2 linked regions of the Diceros bicornis minor genome follow. The protein of the gene in region 1 purifies or fractionates together with the protein of each later gene. This does not show direct contact. Links are inferred from orthologs where the notes say so. Each region holds a gene or a part of one and is shown in the gene's direction. Other genes may lie near its edges.

Evidence for each region. Proteins that work in one complex are often made in the same cells at the same time.
Region 2: the proteins of SLC7A1 (region 1) and STX4 purify together in Homo sapiens (co-immunoprecipitation; 3 studies listed by BioGRID and IntAct, counting the BioPlex papers as one, with this or other methods). This does not show direct contact. The link is inferred for Diceros bicornis minor from reciprocal best matches to the Homo sapiens genes SLC7A1 and STX4.

Annotation. Positions count from the first base shown.
Region 1 is NC_080748.1:12,664,980-12,675,194, reverse strand, and holds the start of SLC7A1 (high affinity cationic amino acid transporter 1), read left to right. Parts: upstream 1-6,087; 5' UTR 6,088-6,282; intron 6,283-10,215. UniProt on the Homo sapiens protein: High-affinity, low capacity permease involved in the transport of the cationic amino acids (arginine, lysine and ornithine) in non-hepatic tissues.
Region 2 is NC_080765.1:20,989,706-21,000,384, reverse strand, and holds the start of STX4 (syntaxin-4), read left to right. Parts: upstream 1-5,749; 5' UTR 5,750-5,973; coding exon 5,974-6,003; intron 6,004-6,191; coding exon 6,192-6,293; intron 6,294-6,383; coding exon of another isoform or gene 6,384-6,405; coding exon 6,406-6,505; intron 6,506-6,641; coding exon 6,642-6,716; intron 6,717-7,518; coding exon 7,519-7,589; intron 7,590-9,043; coding exon 9,044-9,152; intron 9,153-9,225; coding exon 9,226-9,302; intron 9,303-9,538; coding exon 9,539-9,676; intron 9,677-10,604; coding exon 10,605-10,679. UniProt on the Homo sapiens protein: Plasma membrane t-SNARE that mediates docking of transport vesicles. Necessary for the translocation of SLC2A4 from intracellular vesicles to the plasma membrane.

The DNA of each region.
Region 1 (10,215 bases):
CCGAGGACCTGGTTCTGCCCCTAATTGGTCCTGTGACCTTGAGGACCGCATGGTGCCTCCCTGCTTCTGTAAGCCCAGAGGTTTGCTCTGGTGGTGCTTAGCTCATGTCTTTTTCAATTCTGAGAGCCAATCTTCTTACTGAATATGATTTCCACCACATATTAGTTTGCTAGGGCTGCCATAACAAAATACTACAGACTGGGTGGCTTAAACACCAGAGATTTATTTCCTCACAGTTCTGGAGGCTGGAAGTCCAAAATCAAATTGTTGGCAGCTTTAGTTTCCTTTGAGGCCTCGCCCCTTGGCTTGTAGATAGTCGCCTTCTCACTGTGTCCTCACATGGCCCTTCCTCTGGGCACATGTGTGTCTGGTGTCTCTCTGTATGCCCCAATTTCCTTTTCTTATAAAGATACTAGTCATATTGGATTAGCCTTATTTAACTTAATTACCTCTTTAACGGCCCTATGTCCAAATACAGCCACATTCTGAGGTACTGGGGGTTAAGGCTTCAACATATGAATTTTAGGGGGACCCAGTTCAGTCCACAACACACTATATATTCCAGAATGTTCTCCTAAATTTAAACATCAATGGATATAGCATTCATGTGTTAAAGGAGACAGCAAAGGTACGGAAAATTAGTTAAAAACTTTTTCATGAAGCACAAAAAACTTCCAAACACTATGGAAACCCAGTAGGAAATATATACCATTGGCCTTCAAATTTGAAGCAAAGTTAAACCGGGGAGGTGAGTGAAGAAGATTCCTCTCTCAGCGGTGACTCTGACCAGGGCTCAGGGTAGTCAGTGCTGGAGTGCTGGCCTGGCAAATCAAGCCCGTGCGTAGGGCTCTAGCTAAACACGGGCCCTGAAAGATTTTGTTGGAAAAAATGTGATATTAAAGAAAAAAGCATTGAAGGGAATCAGGGCAGTACAGAAAAAAATTGGAAACGGTTGGACTTCCTCATATTATTTTAATATTTTTATTTTGAATGCTCATGGGGAAGAGAGGACATCATCATCTTTTCAGAGCTCATGCCCTGGTAACCTGGTTAGTTGGTTACCTGGTGCTAATGGCCTAAAAGACTTCTCAATAGTTACATGCCAGGCCTGAGCTTCTTTCTTGACAAATCACAAGAGACAGTGGGACTTGAGGATGAAGGCATGGGTGTTCTTTGGCTACAGAGATTTTTGGTGGAGGATGGGGCTGGAGGTAGAATTTTATTTTATTTTTTGGCTACAATTCTGATTTTTTTTTTTTTTTTTTTTGGGTGAGAAAGATCAGCCCTGAGCTAACATCGGATGCCAATCCTCCTCTTTTTTTTTTTTTTTTTTGCCGAGGAAGATTGGCCCTGGGCTAACATCTGTGCCCATCTTCCTCTACCTTATATGGGATGCCGCCATAGCATGGCTTGACAAGTGGTGCATCGGTGTGTGCCCGGGATCCGAACCTGCAAACCTCAGGCCGATGAAGCAGAGCGCGCACACTTAACTGCTACGCCACTGGGCCGGCCCCTACAATTCTGATTTTTAATAACATCTATTGAGTTTATTGTAAATTTTCAGTGTAGAATATCGAGGTAAGTATACAAAAGAATTAAAACTCCTTCTAGGGACAACATTTTTTTGTTTCCATTCTGATTATATATAGTATACATGTACATATGTATGTATAGAATGTTAGTATGCATTTAAGGTTCCTCCATATCTCTTCATGGCTCAATAGCGCATTTCTTTTTATTGACAAACTCTATTTCATTGTCTGGGTGTACCATAGTTGTAGTTGTTTTTTTTTAAGGGATTTTATTGTATTTATTTATTTATTTTTTTGCTGAGGAAGATTTGCCCTGAGCTAACATCTGCTGCCAATCTTCCTCTATTTTGTATGTGGTGCCACAGCTTGGCCACCGAGGCGTGGTGTAGGTCTACACCGGGGAACTGAACCTGGGCCGTCAAAGCAGAGCCCGCTGAACTTAACCACTAGGCCATGGTGCCAGCCCCTGTACCACAGTTTTTTTATCCATTCACCTATTGAAAGACATCTTGGTTGCTTCCAAATTTTGGCAATCAGGACTAAAGCTGCTATAAACGTTCATGTGTAGGTTTTTGTGTGGACACAATTCATTTGGGTAACTACCAAGGAGTGTAATTGCTGGATTGTACAGTAAGACTATGTTTAGTTTTGTAAGACATTGCCAAACTGTCTTCCAAAGTAACTGTACCATTTTGCATTTCCACCAGCAATGAGTCAAGAGTTCCTGTTGCTCCACATCCTCGACAGCATTTGGTGGTGTTGCTGTTTTGGATTTTAGCTATTCAATGGGTGTGCAGTGGTATCTCATTGTTTTAATTTGCAATTCCCTAATGACATATGATGTTAAATATCTTTTTATATGCTTATTTGCCATCTATATGTCTTCCTTGATGAGGTGTCTGTTCAGGTCTTTTGCCCATTTTAAAAGTTGGGTTGTTTGTTTTCTTATTGTTGAGTTTTAAGAGTTCTTTGCAGGGGTTGGCCTGGTGGCGCAAGTGGTTAAGTGTGTGCGCTCTGCTGTGGCAGCCCGGGGTTCGCCGGTTCGGATCCCGGGTGCACACCGACGCACCGCTTGTCAAGCCATGGTGTGGTGGCATCCCATATAAAGTGGAGGAAGATGGGCATGGATGTTAGCCCAGGGCCAGTCTTCCTTAGCAAAAGAGGAGGATTGGCAGATGTTAGCTCAGGGCCGATCTTCCTCACAAAAAGAAAAAAAAAAGTTCTTTGTGTATTTTGGGTACCAGTACTTTACCAGGCATGTGTTTTGCAAAGATTTTCTTCTAGTCTGAGGCTTATCTTTTCATTCTCTTAATAGTGTCTTTTTTTTTTTTTTTTTTTTGTGAGGAGATCAGCCCTGAGCTAACATCCGCCAATCCTCCTCTTTTTTTTTTGCTGAGGAAGACGGCCCTGGGCTAACATCTGTGCCTATCTTCCTCCACTTTATATGGGACGCCGCCACAGCATGGCTTACCAAGCAGTGCGTCGGTGCGCGCCCGGGATCCGAACCAGCGAACCCCGGGCCGCCGCAGCGGAGCGCGCGCACTTAACCGCTTGCGCCACCGGGCCGGCCCCTCTTAATAGTGTCTTTTGCACAGCAGAAGTTTTAAATTTTAATGAAGTCCAACTTGTCAATTTTTTCTTTTGTGGATCATATTTTTGATGTATCTAAAAAGTCATTGCCAAACCTAAAGATCACTTAGATTTTCTCCTATGTTATCTTCTAGGATTTTTCTCATTTTGCATTTACATTTAGGTCTATGATTCGTTTTCAGTTAACTTTTGTGAAAGGTGTAAGGTCTGTGTCTAGATTCATTTTTTTTGCATGTGGATGTCCAGTTGTTTCAGCACCATTTGTTGAAGAGACTGTCCTTTCTCCATTGTATTGCCTTTTTCCTTTGCCTCAAAAATCAGTTGACTATATTGTGTGGCTCTATTTCTGGGCTTTGTCTGTCGGTTGTCATACTGTGTGTTGCGTGGGTCTGTTTCTGGTCTTTGTCAGCTGTCATACTGTGGTGTCTGCGTGTTGTCATGATGCTGAAAGCTATGCCACTGGTATGTCTAATACCAGCAGGGTCACCCAGGGTGACAGGTTTCAGCAGAGCTTCCAGACTAAGACAGACTGGGAGGAAGGACTTGGCCACCTACTTCTGAAAAAACTGGCCATGAAAACCCTGTGAATAGTGGTGGGACATTGTTTGATATAGAGCCTGGAAGATGAGAGGATGGCACAAAAAGACCGGGTAGGGTTCCGCTCTGCTGTACACAGGGTCACTAGGAGTCGGAAATGCCTCAACAGCACTAGCAACAAAAAATTCTAGGCTCTCTATTTTGTTTCACCTTTATGCATATTTTTCTTTTTCTTTTTTTCCACCTTTACTGAATGTATATTTTTCATTCTCACCATAAAGTTATTCCTATCCAGTAGGTAGTAAAACCCTTATTTTGAAGATGAAGAAACTGTGCCTAAGAGAGGACAATTTCCCTGCGCCAGCAGTGGGCAGAAAGTCGAGTTAGAGTTTAAAACCACATCTGTCTGACTCTCTGATGCTCTACACTTTTTGCACTCCCATGCTAGGCTGGGACTTGGTCTGTCAACCGTAACCTTAGATGGTGCCCTCTAGGGCCAAAATTCTAGCATCTCCTTTCCTTAATAGTCTTTGGAATCTTGGCTTAATGCTCTTTGATTCTGAGGTTGTCTGTCACTCATGGTCCCTCTGGACCTGCAATGGGAATCTTAACTGCCTGAAGTTTAGCTGTACTTAAAAAATTCAGCCAGGTTTTTTTTTCAGTTTTTTAAAAACTTTTTGCTGAGAACTTGAGCATAATGATTTTTTCCCTGGTTCACACTGAATCCTTTTTGCTGGGAAGCTGCTTGCTTATGGGTCTGGTCACTGAGGGTCTGCTATTGTCTTTCTGAAGAGGAAGCCTGCTGGGTGGGATTGCTAAACTGAGCACAGTGCTACAAATCTCCTTGGTTAAGTTCCACCCGTATACCCATCAGGGCCTGGAACATTTGCTCTCAGAATTTACAAATATTAACTCTGTGTTCCTTCTCTGCATTCCCCAAGCCGAGCATCTCTACAATCTACTAAATTCTATTTTACTGCCAAGACTCTTTAAAAAAAAATCCTATAATCATATTTCAAACACTAAAGGATAGTCTTCTGATAAGAATATAAGGTTAATAGAGGTGAAAAAGCTTGCAGAAGACCACACAGGGAATGAAGTGGGAGAATTCAGATTCAAATTCAGATCTGGTGCAGAGACAAAGTGGGTGGTCCTTGAATCACACCAGGCTTCCCTCTGTGAGAAGGGGGACATCCTTTCAAGGCAGTGTCAGGGGGTAAAGGAGACTGTGTGGGATTCAGAAAAAGCCCCAACACAGGGGACCTCCTTAATGCAACTCGAGAGCATCATTTCATCACTGTACAATTGAAACTGAAATTTATTGTTTTAAAACAATGTACAGGTAGTCACTTATGATGCCAAACACTGTTCAAAATGCTTCACAAATATTAGCACATTTCTATGCGTTCATTAAAACATTTTCTGAAGCCAGTACCATGCAGTTATGTGCTCTATAAATAGCTAGTGTAATTCCAAAAGAGAGGATCACATCCAGTGGCTGACGACGAGCCCCTTACTGACCAAGAACATCAGGTGGGGGTAGGAGGTGTGGAAAGGATTCAAAGACCATGGACACTGTACTGTCGTTTTGTCTGTTTTCTACAAAGTTAGGAGGAGACTGGCAGAATTAATCTATGTCCCGCTCGCCTCTCACATGTCACACATCACTGGATCTCCATAGACTGTGGTTTTTTTTTTTTTTTTTTGGAGCAAAGAGAGACAACAAAGAGGGAGCTTGTGAGGTGAGCCCTGTGGGATTCGGTACTGAAGTCTCGGCCATCTCGGGGAGAGTAACTCCGGAAATAAGCCGCTTTGACGAGCCCGTTGGCCAGGTATGCTTGTCCCACGGCCAAGGGGCACAGGTAGATTCAGGCTTCAGGGCCCTTCCTGACAAGGGGCAAGGATAAATTATTTATTAAAAGCAAGGGAATAGCAATAAAATACTCCAATGATAAAGAAATGAAGATTTATAATAATTTTTAAAAACCCTTGAAGTGCTTCCCAAATCTTTTATTTTTGGAAAGGAAAACTGGCCGCGAGCTCGGTGTCAGCTCGCTGAGACCCGCTGGTCGGGGCTTGGCACGGCCGAGCCCGCGGCACTAGCCCCGGCCCGCCAGGCCTGCAGGGGACCAGAGGACGCGGTGCGGCCGCCGGCTCGGATTGGCGGAGAAATGGCAACACGCGGGCGGGGCGACCGCGAAGACGCCGGGAGGCGCCGCCCGCCTGCGGGGGGATCCCAGGTTGGCGCCCGGGCGCGCGAAGACGCGCCGCCCCGCCCCCGCGCCCGCCGGGCAGCCGCGCCGCGCTTCCATTGGCGGTCGGCGGTGACGCAGCGCGGGCTGGGGCCCGGGGGCGGGCTCGCGGGCCAGGCCCGGGCCGCGCGGCTGATGAAACCCGGCGCCGGGGCCCGCCCGCCCTCACGCTCCATTCAGTCGGCGCGGGCAGGTGTGAGCGGCCGGTCAACTGCCTGGCGGGGCACGCGGCCAGCCGGCATCCGCTAACCGCAGCTCCCACTCTCACTGCGGCTCCCCGCGCCGGGCCTGCGTCCGAGCGTCCGTCAGTCCAGCCGCGCGTGCGTCCGTCCATCCACAGTCGTGCCGGCATCCTGCCGCCCGCCGGCTCGGTGAGTGCCCGGCCCCCGCCGGCGCCAGGGCAGCTCCCCGCGTCTGGGTCACCTTGGAAGGGACCCCGGCGCTGCGTGGGGCCGTGGGAGGGCGGCGCGGGAGCGGCGAGGGTCCTGCGCCCGGGGCGCTGGCATCCTCCAGGGTGGGCGAGGGCAGGGCGGGCCCGGGGGTGTGCGCGCGGGGCTGGTGCCCATGTGGCTGTCTCCTTCACCGGAGTCCATTTTGGTTCCCTGAAGGCGCGGCGTGGTGCATGATGCAACACCGAGTGAGTAAGCGTGGGCGACCTGGCTCCTCGGTGATGCCCACCCCGCGCGCCCTGCCAGGGACCCCGGCGCCGGGACGGACGGGGTGGTCGGCGTGGACAGCGGCGGGGAGCGGGTACGGGGGCCGGCCCAGGAGGCATCCGGAGACCTTCCCTTACATGGCGCGGTGCTGAGCACCCCGCCCCGCCACGAAGTCCGCGATGTGTCATCCGCCGCGGGTGGGGAGCCCGCCCGGCGGCCGGGAGGGTGGTCCCGCGGCAGGTGGCCGGCCTGGGGACAACGCTAGCACCCCGCACCCTGCCCACGGCGCCCACTCTCTTCCCTAGACCCCGGGACGCGCCCCGCCCCGCCCACACCTCTTGTCGGGATCGCCAGGGTTTTTTCGGAGAAGTCCCCTCTGGGTGGGCTTCCTTGTGACCTGAATTGGCCTGTAAAAGCTGGATTCTTCAAGCCTTCCAGATGGTTTGGAGCGGGAGGAAGTTCTTCCGGCTTAGTAAAGACAACCTGTTCTCAGTGTGTCCCTTTCTGCGTAGTAGAAAACTTCCCAGGCCAGGCAGGTCTGGCAGTCCCTCTAAAACCTGTGTGTACACAGAGCGGCACTCGCACTGTAGTACTACCACAGCGTGCTATTTTAGTTCCTTCCCCTTTTCAGTGGGTGTGGGAACCAGTTAGGAGTTGTGTTTGACTTGTATGATTAGGATAGGCAGACATGTGCCTTCTGGAAGAGAACTATACTTCTTAATACCCACAGGCAGGCTCGGGTGTGTGGAAGTACCTGGAGTTGGGTATTATTCCAGATTTAGTTACAAGGGAGAGGGTTGGGATTTCAGTACCAGGTGTAGTTCCCTAAAAATGTGCTCTTTAAAATTTGACCATTAGAACTGTGTATGTTGGCCTCTGTCTGAATTTCCTGATTGTATTTCATTTGACCTATAATTTACTTAGGATTTCTCTTAACATTTGTTGCCCTTTATGTTCGGTTCAGATAGAAGGAAACGGTGATACATATATCCCCCTGATATTTTTAGTTGATCTCGGTGGAAATTATTATTTTTCTGTGAACACACCCTTCTGTCATTAAAACAAAAGGTCTTATTTAAGTCACACAATCAGAATAGAAATTTAGGGGGCAGAGTCAACAATGGATTAAAATAGTTTTTAAAGGTTTAGCATATTAAGATCATGTTTAATCATTATATATAAAATTTAAAAGGTGTCAAAGGAGTTTTGACTAAACCAACAGGATAAGACTAAATAGAGATCAGAAATGTACTCAGTTGTTGGATCTGGATTTGAGCCACGTGGGTGCTTGTATGTATATAATTATTTGCTTCAGAGAGAAAAAGGCTTGAAAGACAAGATTGCTGACCTCCCGAGTTTGAATACTAGGACGCGTGTTAATTATATTTGGTAGAAGTTTCCATTCTTCGATGGAATTAAATACATGTTTGTTGACAGTTTCTGTGTACTGAGTTTAGTTTCTACCAAGTAGTTTATTTCTACTAAGGCCAGTAAAAAGACCTAATTATGGGGGTTGGCGTGGTGGCGCAAGCGGTTAAGTGCGCGTCTTCTGCTTTGGCGGCCGTGCCTTCGCAGGTTCGGGCCCAGGGGCTCACTGACGCACCACTTGTCAAGCCGTGCTGTGGTGGGCCTCCCATATAAAGTGGAGGAAGATGGGCATGGATGTTAGCTCAGGGCCAACCTTCCTCAGCAAAGAAAGAGGAGGATTGGCATCAGATGTTAGCTCAGGGCTGATCTTCCTCACAAAAAAAAATTAAAAATTAAAACAATGCCCAGCATTGTTTAATTGAATTAATCCCTTTTCATTATTAACTATGTATTTGGCAGTATTGGTTTATTAATCCTAAGAAGGAATTCCAAACAGGAGTAAGTGCAGCCTTGTTATGGAGGGAAGCATTTTCCTCTGGGCCAGAGGCATCTTCTGAGATGTTCATCATTCCACCTGGCTCTTGGTCCTCACTCCAAGCAGGACCTGTGGATGGGACCCTAGTGTTTTTCTGTATGATTGACCTTTTCAGGCCTGGGGGCTCTCTATACCTCTGTCTGTTCCAGTTGAGGGCAGGTCTCATAGGATTTTGCTTTTACTCGCATAAGATTTTGCTTTTACTTTGAGTGAGGTGGGGAACCATGGAAAGCTGTCTGGTAGTTTTCAAGGATTACTTGAAACACTGTATAGAGAAAAGATGGGTGGGTGGGGAGAGGGGCAGGCATAGAAGCAGGGAGACCAACCAGTTCAGAGACTTGTAAGTAATTCTGGAATAAAACCCACCTCCAGGTTATTTCTACACAAGAGAGAGTGACCATATGTAATTTTGGTGAGAGATGATGGCAGCTTGGGCTGGGGTGGAAATGGTAGAAATGTGAGGTGGTCGAATTCTGCTCCGTCTGTAGGTTTATATACTTGCTCTATCTGTAGATTTTAGAGGTGGACCCAATAGGATTGGCCACTGGGTTCCATGTGAGGTGTGAAAGAGGTCGAATGTGATTTTAAGTAGAATGGAGTTGCCATATTAGTGAGATGGGGAAGGCTGAGGAGACAGCATGTTGGGAAGGACTTTTTAAAAGTCACAGCTGACTTTTTTTAGACACTTCCCTCTTCAGGCGACTGGGCTGAACTAGATCTACCCTCTTGGGGGCCCTTCCCAGGTGCATGACTGTCTTGTAGCCACCTGCCCCAGAGTGGTGGCCTCCTTCCTTTTCACCCAGCTTTCTTGCCATTTCACCCCTTGCTGGGGTTCTCTTGGTGCCTGCAGCCTCCCTGTACTCCCCTGCCGCCCTCCAGTGGCGCCTTGGCTGTGGGGTTGCCCTGTTGCCATGGGTCCCCCATGAGGACCCTTTGCCCCTTGGTTCTAAAGCCGTGGAGTGTGTCTGCTTTTTCATTCCTGGGCCTTCAGGACACCTGCCTTCCAGGGCTGTAGACCACTGGCATTGGTTCCCAGGCCAAGGTTCTATCCACCCCAAGGTTTTAGGTCTCTTCCAGTTGAACCCTAGAAAGGTAGCTTTTTTAATGCAGATTATCAGCCTTGTGGTAAACTTTAGGGACTTCTCTTTCTATTTCTCCGTAATACCCCCACCCCCTAACTCAACTCCAGGGCAGCTTTGAAAATAACTACCCTGCAGTTGTTCAAAGTGAATCATAATTTATTATGGGGGGGTTAGTACATTTGCCACCTGTGAATCTGCTAGAAGAGTGGGCAGCAAATTGGTAAAATATTTGGTAGCCTACTAAATGTGTTCATTTCACTTGGAAGGCATTCCTTCAGATATTTGGCATTGGCGGAGCTGTGGGTGAAGCTGTTGACGCTGCCCGTTGGTCAGGGCTCATTCATCCAGCAGCACAGGCTCGAGGAAAGACATTTCTGGACATTGCAGTGGATTCCGGCATAAGGTTCACCCATCCTGCCACACCCAGGGGCTTTCATTTGGCTTTTTCCCTCTGGTTGTTGTCATTAGCAGTGGGGACTGCCAGATGGTGGTTTAGTGGACAATCTGCAGAAACTGGAGTTGGAGCTGTGTGGCTGAGGGAGGAGGCCTTCGCAGCTCAGTGCAGCCTGAGATGATCTGCCCTGAGGTGCAGGGTGCTGCTTTCAGGAGCTGAGAGCAGGTAGTACCAATGCCGGGAACAGCGCCACTTTAGGCTTCTGGGGT
Region 2 (10,679 bases), on another chromosome or scaffold:
CACACACACACACTTTTTTTCTTATACAACAGTAGCGTGATATACTCATTCTACACCTTGATATTTAACTAACAATATATTTTGAAGCATTTTCATATTTATGCATAATGAGCATCTTCATTCTTTTTGACATCTGCATACCTGCTAATGGACAAGTTTCTAATCCATTGCAAACAATATCCAATGAATAACATTGATGTTTGTGTCATTTCATACAGGTGCAGATAAGATGAATTAAAATTCTATTTCTCCACCCTTTGCAGCTCGTATGGACCGTGACTTGCTTTGACTAATAGAATACGGCAGAAGTCATGTTGTGCAACTTCTGAGCAGAGTCTCCAGAGACCTGGCAGCTTCTGCTCTCACCCTCTGGGAACCCTGAGGCCACTATGCTATGACGAAACCCAAGGTGAAATACCACATGGAGAGAGTGGCTTAGCCACCCCAGCCAACCCGGCCATTAGGGTTAAGGTCCCAGGCATGCCAGTGTGAGAGAGGCCACGGTGGGCCATCCAGCTCCAGCCAAGGTGCCAGCTGACTGCTGCCATCTAAGTAATCTAAGGTAAGACCAGCAGAGAAACCACCCGGCCATCCTCAGAATCTGGAGAAACAATGAATCATTGTTATTTTACACCAGTGAGTTTTGAGGTGGTTTCTTATGAAGCAGTAGCTAACTGATACAGCAGGAATACCATTCAGATAGATTTTCAGAAGTGGGATTGCTGGTTCAAAGTGTATATGCATTTATAATTTTGATAAATATTGTCTGGGTTGTATCATTTTGCAGTCTCACCAACAATGGGTGAAAGTCCCTGTTTCCCCACAGTCTTGCCAAAAAAGCGAATCGTCAAATGTAGATTTTTGCTCATGCAGTAAATAAAAAGTGGTATTTCAGTATCGTCTTCATTTTCATTTCTCTTATTGTGCGAAGTTGAACATCTGCATATGTGTTTAGTTCTTATGTATTTTCTTTTTTGTGATCTGTCATGTTCTTTGCCCATTTTTTGTTGAACTGTTGGTCTTTCTTATCAATATGTGGGAGCTCTTTAAATAATAAGGAGATTAGCCCTTTGTATATGATAAGAACTGCAAATATTTTTTCCCAGTTTGCTGTTTATCTTGATTTTGCTTTGATGTTTTTACCATGCAAAATTTTTTCATGTAGACAAATGTATTAATCTTTCATTTTATAGCTTCTGAATTTTGAGTTGCAGTTGGAAAGGCCTTCCTCACTCCGAGACTTATAAAGGATTTTGCCCATATTTTCTTCTAGTATTTTTATGGAGTTTATCCTGACAAATTGTGTGACCCATCACCTTTCGCATGAAGGTCAAGGTCAAGGTTATGGTATGGGTCACCTGGTGTCACCCATGTGGAGAGGAAACAGGAGGAACAAAAGCTGATTTAGGAGATTCTCAGGGGGAGATAATGCATCCTGTTTGGGAGACGTTGAGTTTAAGATGCCTGTGGGACCTCCAGGACAGGGTGTCCAGGAGGCAAATGGATTCAGGGGTCTGGAGCAGAGAAGAAAATTTGGGACTGGAGACATGGAATTGGGAGCCAGCATATGGATGCCAGTTAAAGCCACAAGAGTGTGTGTAGAGTTTGAAGAGGAGAGGTTCTCAGATGGAGCTCTAGGGAGTGATCAAGGTCAGGCCCAAAACACATCACGAGGAGAGAGTTGTGGGGGCTTCATCTCTGTAGCCTTTGGGGCTTGGCACAAAAATAGCCTCAGAGACACTTGTAGGATGAACAGATGCCCTTTACGTGAGACATGCATGGACATCTTTGGCTCCCGGGGACACAGCAAACAGGGCAAGGGAGGAAGACCAACAACCTCTCCAGCAGTCAGCCCCAACCCAGCAGGTGTGGAAGAGAGACCCCGTGACAGGGGAGGGGAGAAGGCTCAGTCTTGCAAAGTCTGCCCCCTCCTTCCCCTAGATGATCCAAAGCAGGGCATCAATAGTTGGCAGCAAGTCCCCAAAGGTGGGTGGAACATGGGAAGCCAGTCCTGGCTAGTGTTTTCCTTGGGTCACAGTATAGTGGTTAAGAAAGAGCATAGACTCTGGACCTCCACTCTCTGGGTTCAAATTCCGGCTCTCTCATTTACTAGTGTGTAACTTTTGGCAAGTTACTTAACATCTCTGTGCCTCAGTTTCCTCCTTTGTAAAATGAGGACAATAATAGTACCAATCTCATAGAATTGATATGAGGGTTAAATGAGTAAATATCTATAACCTGCTTACATTGGTGCATGGCACAGAGTAAATGTTATGTAAGTATTAAACTAAAAAGAAATAATTTCATTCATTCATGAATGTTTATTGACCAGCTACTATGTGCCAGGCACTGTTGTAGGTGCTGGGGACACAGCAGTGAATGATGCAGGTGAAAATCCCTGCCCTCATGGAGCTTAGCTTCTAGCAGGGTGGACAGGACGGGTGAAGATAGACAATATATAAAATAAATAAGCAAAATAGAAGGTGTGTCAGATCCAAGTGAAGACATGAGAGATGTGCAGGACCGCTAGCCTAGGACCTGGTGCACAGTGGGGCTCAGGAGATGGAAAAGGAAAGGAAGAGCCTGGACAGGCAGCAGAGTGGAATCTCTGGCAGAGACACTGGGGCTGCGGACACCCTGGTGGTAAAAATCATCATCATTTCTGTCATATAATAGCATCAAACACTTATATAGCACTTATTCCGTACCAGGCACTGTTCTATTCACTTTACATATATCATCTCATTTAATCCTTACAGCAACCCTATGAGGTTGGTACTGTTACCGTCCTATTTTTCAAATGAGGGAACTGAGGCATGAAGAGGTTAAGTAACTTGTCTTATAGAGTTATATAGTAGTTGAATGAGCTGGGATTCCAACCCAGGTCATCTGGCTCCAGTGTTAATAGGATGGACCTATAGGTGGAGGGGACGGGACAGGCTGCCATGCCTCAGGAACAGGTAGGGCCCAACCTTCAGACAGATTGAAAAGAAAATACACACCGCCACCCCCCCCCAACACCCACACATGCAAAACCCAATATACTTAACACACACTTCAAAGCTGCTCTGAGGGCCTGAGAGGAGTAAAAAAGGACTATGAGACAGAGATAAGGGCTCAGCTCTGGAAAGCTCTATCCCCAGAGCCATTCTCCCTAGATGGCCCCTGCTCCCTGGCCCCTCCACACACCCCTCCATGAGGCTCTCAGCCTGCCCTCCTGTGGCCTTAAGCCACCATCGCAAAGCCCTGCGATCCTACCCAGAGACCACAAATAAAATGAATATCATAGTCCTGGGAAATTTAACAAAGGCACCAAGAACTCCAGATCACAGCTGGGAACCAAGAAGGCAAGTCATCAAAATGCTAAGAAACAGAGAGAGGCAGGTGGGACTCGTAGGCCCAGAGAGAGCTGGAACCCACAGTAGTGAAAGCTCACAGAGGGAGGAACTCTCCACAGTTTACAAGACCCTTCCAAATTCTTCTTAACCTCACTTGATATTGTTCAGTTCTTACCCTAGGCAAGACAGAAATTACCAGACCAAGTTGTCAAATGAAGAAATTAAGTCCCACAGAGGAGCAATGAATTATTCAAGATCACCCCCAGGACTAGGAGTCAGATGTCCAAAGCCCTTCCACTGTACCACTCAGAGTATGAGAGAGACAGACAGAGACAGAGAGAAAGAAGGGAGGAGGGCAGGGAGGCAGAGGCTAACATGGAAGATCCAGGAGCAGAGAAATCCTTCCTCATGATCTCCAGGGGACTCCACGGGGCAGGGTTTGGCCTCCTGAACCCTTCATTCTTTATTCCTCCTGTGGGTTGATCAGGGCAGCACATCCTCATTCCTTCATTCCCAACCCAGGCGAGCTGGATTCTAAAGGGAAGAGGAGAAGGATCAAAGTCTTCACATAGAATCAGACAGCACTTGACAGTTTCCAACCTCATATCACTGAACATTAGAGCAGGGAATACCCATCAAGATTATCTCCCCATCCTCCTACTGCCACCTATTGTGTAGATGGGGGATCAAAGCCCAGAGATAAGTGACTTTCCAGAAGTCCACAGCAACTCAGTCACAGGAATCTAGTTTTCCTTACCAGGGCATACTAGAGAGGGGCTATTCCTTCCCTTGCTTGAATCTTCATATAAGCACCCTGGAAAGAGCCCCGGGGTCCAGAAGACTTGATATCCATTCTGGCTATGCCGAGACTCACTGAGTAGTCTTGGGGACTCTTGCTATAGAATGTAAACTCCAGGGGCTGGCCCCGTGGCTTAGCGGTTAAGTGCATGCGCTCTGCTGCTGGCGGCCTGGGTTTGGATCCCGGGCGCGCACTAACGCACCGCTTCTCCGGCCATGCTGAGGCCGCGTCCCACATACAGCAACTAGAAGGATGTGCAACTATGACATACAACTATCTCCTGGAGCTTTGGGGGGAAAACAAATAAATAAATAAAAATTAAAAAAAAAAAAAAAAAAGAATGTAAGCTCCACAAGGGCAAGGCATTTTTGCCTCTTAGCCCTTGATGTATCTCCGGCCCCTAGAACAGTGTCTGGCCCATAGTAAACGCCCAATAAACATCCACTGAATGAATGAACCTCTAGAGGGCCAGGGTTAGGGGAGTGTCACCGTGAGAGCCTGAAGCCTGAAACAGAAGACTAGGGAACTATGAGCTTTATCTTCAGATGCATGAAAGGCTAAAATTCTGTCCACAAATATTTATTGAGGGCCCATTATGTGCTGGGTACTGAACTAGGTGCTGGCGATTCAGGTAAGAACAAGACAGTCATGCCCTGACCTCAAGAGCTCACAGTCCGCTATAATATGGAATGTGGGCAGAATGTTTTGTGGACTCCAGAGGGTAGACCTAGGTGCAAGGTGGGGGCGGGCGGGGGTGGGAGGGAGGTGTAAGTGGCAGACTGCTCAATATAATACATTTTTCTTAGCTTGAGCTGCCCTGAAATGGTCTCGCTGCTCAGAAGGTGATGAGTGCAGCAGGACTGCAATGTTCAAGCAGGGCGCCAGCCGCCCACCTGTGGGAAGCTGTGCCAGGAGTATGCGGAAAAAGAGATTTCTGCCTTGGGTGAGGTCACTTCCCACCCCCAGATTCTCTGCCTACAAAACCCTGCAATTCTCTGACGCTGGATCTTATTATTTTCTGAATTTCAAGGTCCCATAATGCTGACAGCCCCAAATTCTAAGTCGTCTGCCCACGGCCCTGGGCCCCAAAGAAATAAAGCTGAATTCAGCAAGGGTCCTACCACCCACTGCCTCAACAGGTCTCTGGGGATAGCGCCCCCTCCCCGCCTCGGTGGGCTGGAAGGGCGTAGCTCGGGCGCCGGAGTGCCGCGGACGTCGTGGGGAGAAGGATGTTTCAGATACAGAGTTGACAGAGCCAAGACACGTGACAGTCAAAGGCTCACGTTCTGTGGTCCGCGAGGCTGGGACCCGGTCGATCACGTGACGCAGGGGGGCACTATGGGGTGATGTGAGATGCAGGGCCTCTCACATTACGTACAAATGACGCATTCCCACCCCTTTTGGCAAGCAGATTTCCGTTGAAAGATGCGACAGTTCCGGTCGAGGGGGAGGGTTCTCACGTCCTGGCAGTTTTGCTTCCGTTCGGGGCGCTACAGTTTCCGACCTCTGCCTCTCCCTCGGGCGGGGAAGAGACGCGACCCCGTGCGCATGCCCTGAATCATCCCAGGGGGGCGGGGCCGAGGCCACCGGGGCGGGAGGGGGGAAAGAAAAGGGAATTCCAACCTGTGGAAACTTGGGGGTCCCCGAGGTCGCCTCCTTCCCATTGACTGTGGATGGTGCCAGGGACAGAGCCTCTGGAGGCTCGTGGGAGGTTTTGGGGTCCGCGGGGTGAGGGCGGAGGGGAGTGTCAGAGTGCCAGTGGGGTACCGGAGTTCCAAACTTAGAATCTTGAGGCCCTCGGGGCTCCGGCGCCGGGGAAAGAGAGCTCCGGCCGCCATGCGGGACAGGACCCACGAGCTGAGGCAGGTGAGAAGTCGGGGCAGCAGGGTTGGGGACGGGCGGACGGGGTGGGATCTGGCTGAAATGCAGGACTCCTGGTCTTTGGGGCAGGGAGGGGTGGCTGAGGGCTAGGAAGGAAAGACCCGGAAGCCCGTGAGTTCTGCGGGAAGAGAGCTACAGCAAGGAAGTGATGCCAGTGACCCTGGCCCTGGCAGGGGGATGACAGCTCGGACGATGAGAACAAGGAGCGGGTCGCGCTGGTGGTACACCCGGGCACGGCGCGGTTGGGGAGCCCGGACGATGAGTTCTTCCAGAAGGTAAGAGCCTGGAGTCCCGGCCTGGATTCACGAGGGAACTGGAAGACCTGAGGAGCAGCGCGGTCTGGAGTACCCCCATATCTCCTTCAGCCCTCTCGGTCACCCTCCCCAGGTCCGGACAATTCAGCAGGCTATTGTCAAGCTGGAGAATAAAGTCCGAGTGTTGGAGAAGCAGCAGGTCACCATCCTGGCCACGCCCCTTCCCGAGGAGGGTGAGTGAAACCCCGGGTGCAGAACGCACGCTCAGCCAGAGGGATTGTGGGGATTGCAGTTCCAGGCAGGTGGTGGCCAGGAAGATTTGTTGAGGTATAGGATGCTGTTTGGGAGTCATGGCTTTCTTTTGTTCAGGTATGAAGCAGGACTTGCAGAACCTGCGCGACGAGATCAAACAGCTGGGGAGGGAGATCCGCGCGGAGCTGAAGGGTGAGCTCCTAGGACCTCAGACAGATCCTTCCCTCTGTTCCTGCCCAGCTCCTGGCTTATGGGGAGTGTGTGGCCCAGAGAAGCCAGAGATATATCCAGGTCACACAGCAGGCCTAGATCTAGAATCTCTGTCTCCTGGCTTCCAGTCTACAGTACTTTCTCTCTTTTTTTTTTTTTTTTTGAGGAAGATTGGCCCTGAGCCAACATCTGTTGCCAATCTTCCCCCATTTTTTTTCTTTTTTCTCCTGAAAGCCCCCAGTACATAGTTGTATATCCTAGTTGTAAGTCGTTCTAGTTCTTCTATGTGGGATGCCACCTCAGCATGGCTTGATGAGCTGTGAGTAGGTCCACGCCCAGGATCTGAACTGGTGAAGCCCAGGCCGCCAAAGCAGAATGCACGAACCCAACCGCTGTGCCACTGGGCCGCCCCTCTATAGTACTTTCCATGGCACATGCCTGCCTCTTGAGGCTTTATTTGTAATGAAACCATTTACTCCTACAATTTTTGCTGCCCAGTGTGCATTCCTTGGGCAGGCAGATGGGGGTTTTGTTAGGAGGCCTCTGCGTACCTGTGAGAATTCTCTGATGTATTGCAAAGAAAAATATAACTTTTCTCTTGTCAAAAGTTCAGAATTAGTCATTTTATGATAAATTATATCCCCACCCCCAATCCTATGGAGATAAACACCTCTCTTTTGTATGGCTGGGGTATGGCCCTGGCCTTGTGTCCTGGTCCCTAAATGATTTTCAGAAGCCACAGGTGAAACCCCTCCCCCAGCAATACCCTTGTGTCTTCCCACAGCCATAGAGCCCCAGAAGGAAGAAGGTGATGAGAATTACACCTCGGTCAACACGAGAATGAGAAAAACCCAGGTGGGTTTGTTATTCCCAGAACTAGGTCATTTCAGTGTTTTATAGATCATTAGATGGCAGAAGTAAGAAGGAAGGGCCCTTCCTTCTTATTATCAAGTCCAACCTGATGATTTTCCAGATGGGGAAACTGAGGCTTAGAGAGAGAAAGGACTTACCCAAGTCCAAAACCCAGGTCTCCTCACTCCTAATCCATTCTAACACCCTGCCTTCTCCTCCATTCAATGAGAAGTTGTTGAGTCTCCAGACATGACCTGGGCTTGGCTGTGGGTAGACATGCTTTCTAGGAGCCAAGATGGGGAGTTAAACTTGAATAGGTGACAAAGACATTACTCAGGTAGGACTTGGTAGCTAATGGCTCTGCTCAGGGAAGAAGAGGGAGCAGTCATAAATGACTGGGAGGTTTCCTGCCCATGTGACAGGGACATCCTCTGCCCCATGGGCAGAAGTCAAGAAGTCCAGAAGAGGAACTTCCCTGGGGGAGGGAAGGTCACTGAATCACATCTTAGTAAGGAGATTTGAGGTGATGTGACCAGCCCCCTCTGGATGCCCAGTGAGGAGTGGTTTGGAGTTTATGGAGGTCAGAGTTGGAGTAGGTGGGCCCAGAGTTCAGCACAAGATTGAATATGGAGCAGTTTGGGCATCTTGAAAGGATACAGCTGAAGCCAGGATAGCAGATGTGTCTCTGAGGAAGGTAGTCCAATGAGCACATTTAAGGCAATAGGGGAATGGACAAGGCGAGAAGCCGTTTCAGGGGGAGCCTGTGATGGTCGTCAGTGGTCGTCAGTGTGAGAGGCTGACGGCCCAGGTGGACCTGTAATCTGGGCGGCAGGCTGACCTCCAGGCCCACTAGCACACCTCCCAGCTAAGCAATAAAACGGGTGTTCCGCCAGCATTCAACAGATTTATTGAGTGAGACAATCACCAAAATAAATAAGTAAATTATTTTAGAACAGAGTAAGTATTCAGGAAAAAAGAGCAGGAGAAGAGGGATTGAGAGCGCTGGGAGAAGGCAGGTTGCAATTTCAATAAGGTGAAGAAAACTTCATTTAGAAAGTGACATTGGAACAAAGACTCAAAGGCCTTTGTGGGGCCCGAGCATTCCAGGCCGAAGGAACAGTGAGTGCAAAGGCCTGAGGTGGGGGTGTGCTTTGTTCAGGGAGGAGTAAGGAGCCCACTGTGGTGGAGGGAGGGAGGGAGGCAAGAATGGGAGGAGGTAAGGCCAGAGGGGAAGTGGGGGGAGGGGCAGGTCATGGAGGGCCTTGTAGGCCCTGGGAAGGGCTTTGGGTTTTACTCTGAGAGAAATGCGGGAGCCTTTCAAGGTTATCATAAGGTGGTTAAGGCGGCAGCCCCTATACCGGCTCATGCTGTTTGCTCACTGTAGCCGTGGGGATGCTGAGGCCCAAACCAGGCAGGGATCCTCCCAGGGGTACCTAGCCTGTGTTCTCCATCCGTAGCATGGGATCCTGTCCCAGCAATTCGTGGAGCTCATCAACAAGTGCAACTCGATGCAGTCCGAGTACCGGGAGAAGAATGTGGAGCGGATTCGGAGGCAGCTGAAGATCAGTGAGTTGTGGTGCCCGGCCCACAGGGTCAGGTGACCTGACCCCCGCTCTGAGCCTGGCCTTTTCCTTCACAGCAAATGCTGGAATGGTGTCTGATGAGGAGCTGGAGCACATGCTGGACAGTGGGCAGAGTGAGGTGTTTGTGTCGAATGTGAGTGCCCACAGCCAGCTTCCCTCTCCCAGGCCTCCCATCCTCTCTGATCCCTGGCCCTTTTTGATTGAGGGAATACTAAGGCCCAGGAGGGAACAAATTAGCATGCCTAGAGTTACTCTTCAGGGCCCTGGCCCCAGTTCTAGGCCTGAGGACTGCCCCAGAGCTCAGCAGGTACTTCTTACCTGCTGCTGGTTTCCTGATGACCTGTCCCTCCACTCCTGTCCACTCCCCAGATACTGAAGGACACACAGGTAACTCGACAGGCCCTAAATGAGATCTCGGCCCGGCACAGTGAGATCCAGCAGCTTGAACGCAGTATCCGTGAACTTCATGAGCTCTTCACTCTTGTGGCTGCTGAGGTGGAGACGCAGGTGGGTGCCCTAGGCAGCCGGGTGGGCGTGACCCAGCCCCCAGATGGCAGACCAGGTTCAGTCAGAACCCCAGCCGTGACTGTCAGCCCACCTCCACCCTTAGCCTCTCTCCTGAGGCTTTGGTTCCCTCCAGGCTGGGCCATGCCCCCAGACTGGCCCTTACTTCCACCCTTAGCCATGCCCCAGAATTGTGTCTGCCTCCACAGCTATCCAAATGACCACTCTTCTACATGTTGCATCCAGCCCTAAATTGAGCCCACCCCAGGAATGGCCCCAACCTAGGCTCCTCCTCCACCAATAGAATATGCCTTTATACTGCTAAGTGCTCCAGTCAGAGTTGCCCCCAGAAGGCCTGCCTCCTAAAACCTGTGCCAGGTTGGAGTGGGAGGTGGTCTTCTTTCCCTGGCCCTGCTTGTACTGGGTGAGGGGAGCTTCCAGCCTGGTCCCATAGGAGCTGACCCCACTAGTGCTGCAGCCAATGCCCTTTTGCAGCTGGGAGTCATGGGGAAGGGATTTCATTCAGTAGAACCAGGACCTGAAGGCTGGTGGTGCCATGAGGAGGCAGGGATAGGGAGGGCTTCACAGCAGCTGGGAGACAGGCCTAGAAGAATGGGTGAATTCAGACATATTTGTGAAAAGGTATGGGCCATTTAAAGCACTGGGCTTCAAGCCACCACTGCAAATAGAGGTTGTCTGAGGCAAGGGAGCAGGGCAGAAGGGACCATGTGATGGAAGGGGGCCTGGAAGCCACCCTCAGGAGTGTGAACTTTTGTCAGATGTGGTCCTGCCTCCATGTCTATGTTAGTGCAGTGTTTCTGCCAGGAGTGTCCTTCAGTCATTTGGGGCTGGGGTGGGCAGGCAAAGGGGCTGCTGAGCCCTCCACTCCTAGTCATCCCTACCAGCCTCAACTGCCCACTCGTTCGAGTAGGGGGAGATGATCAACCGGATTGAGAAGAACATCCTGAGTTCAATGGACTATGTGGAACATGGGCGGGAAGATGTC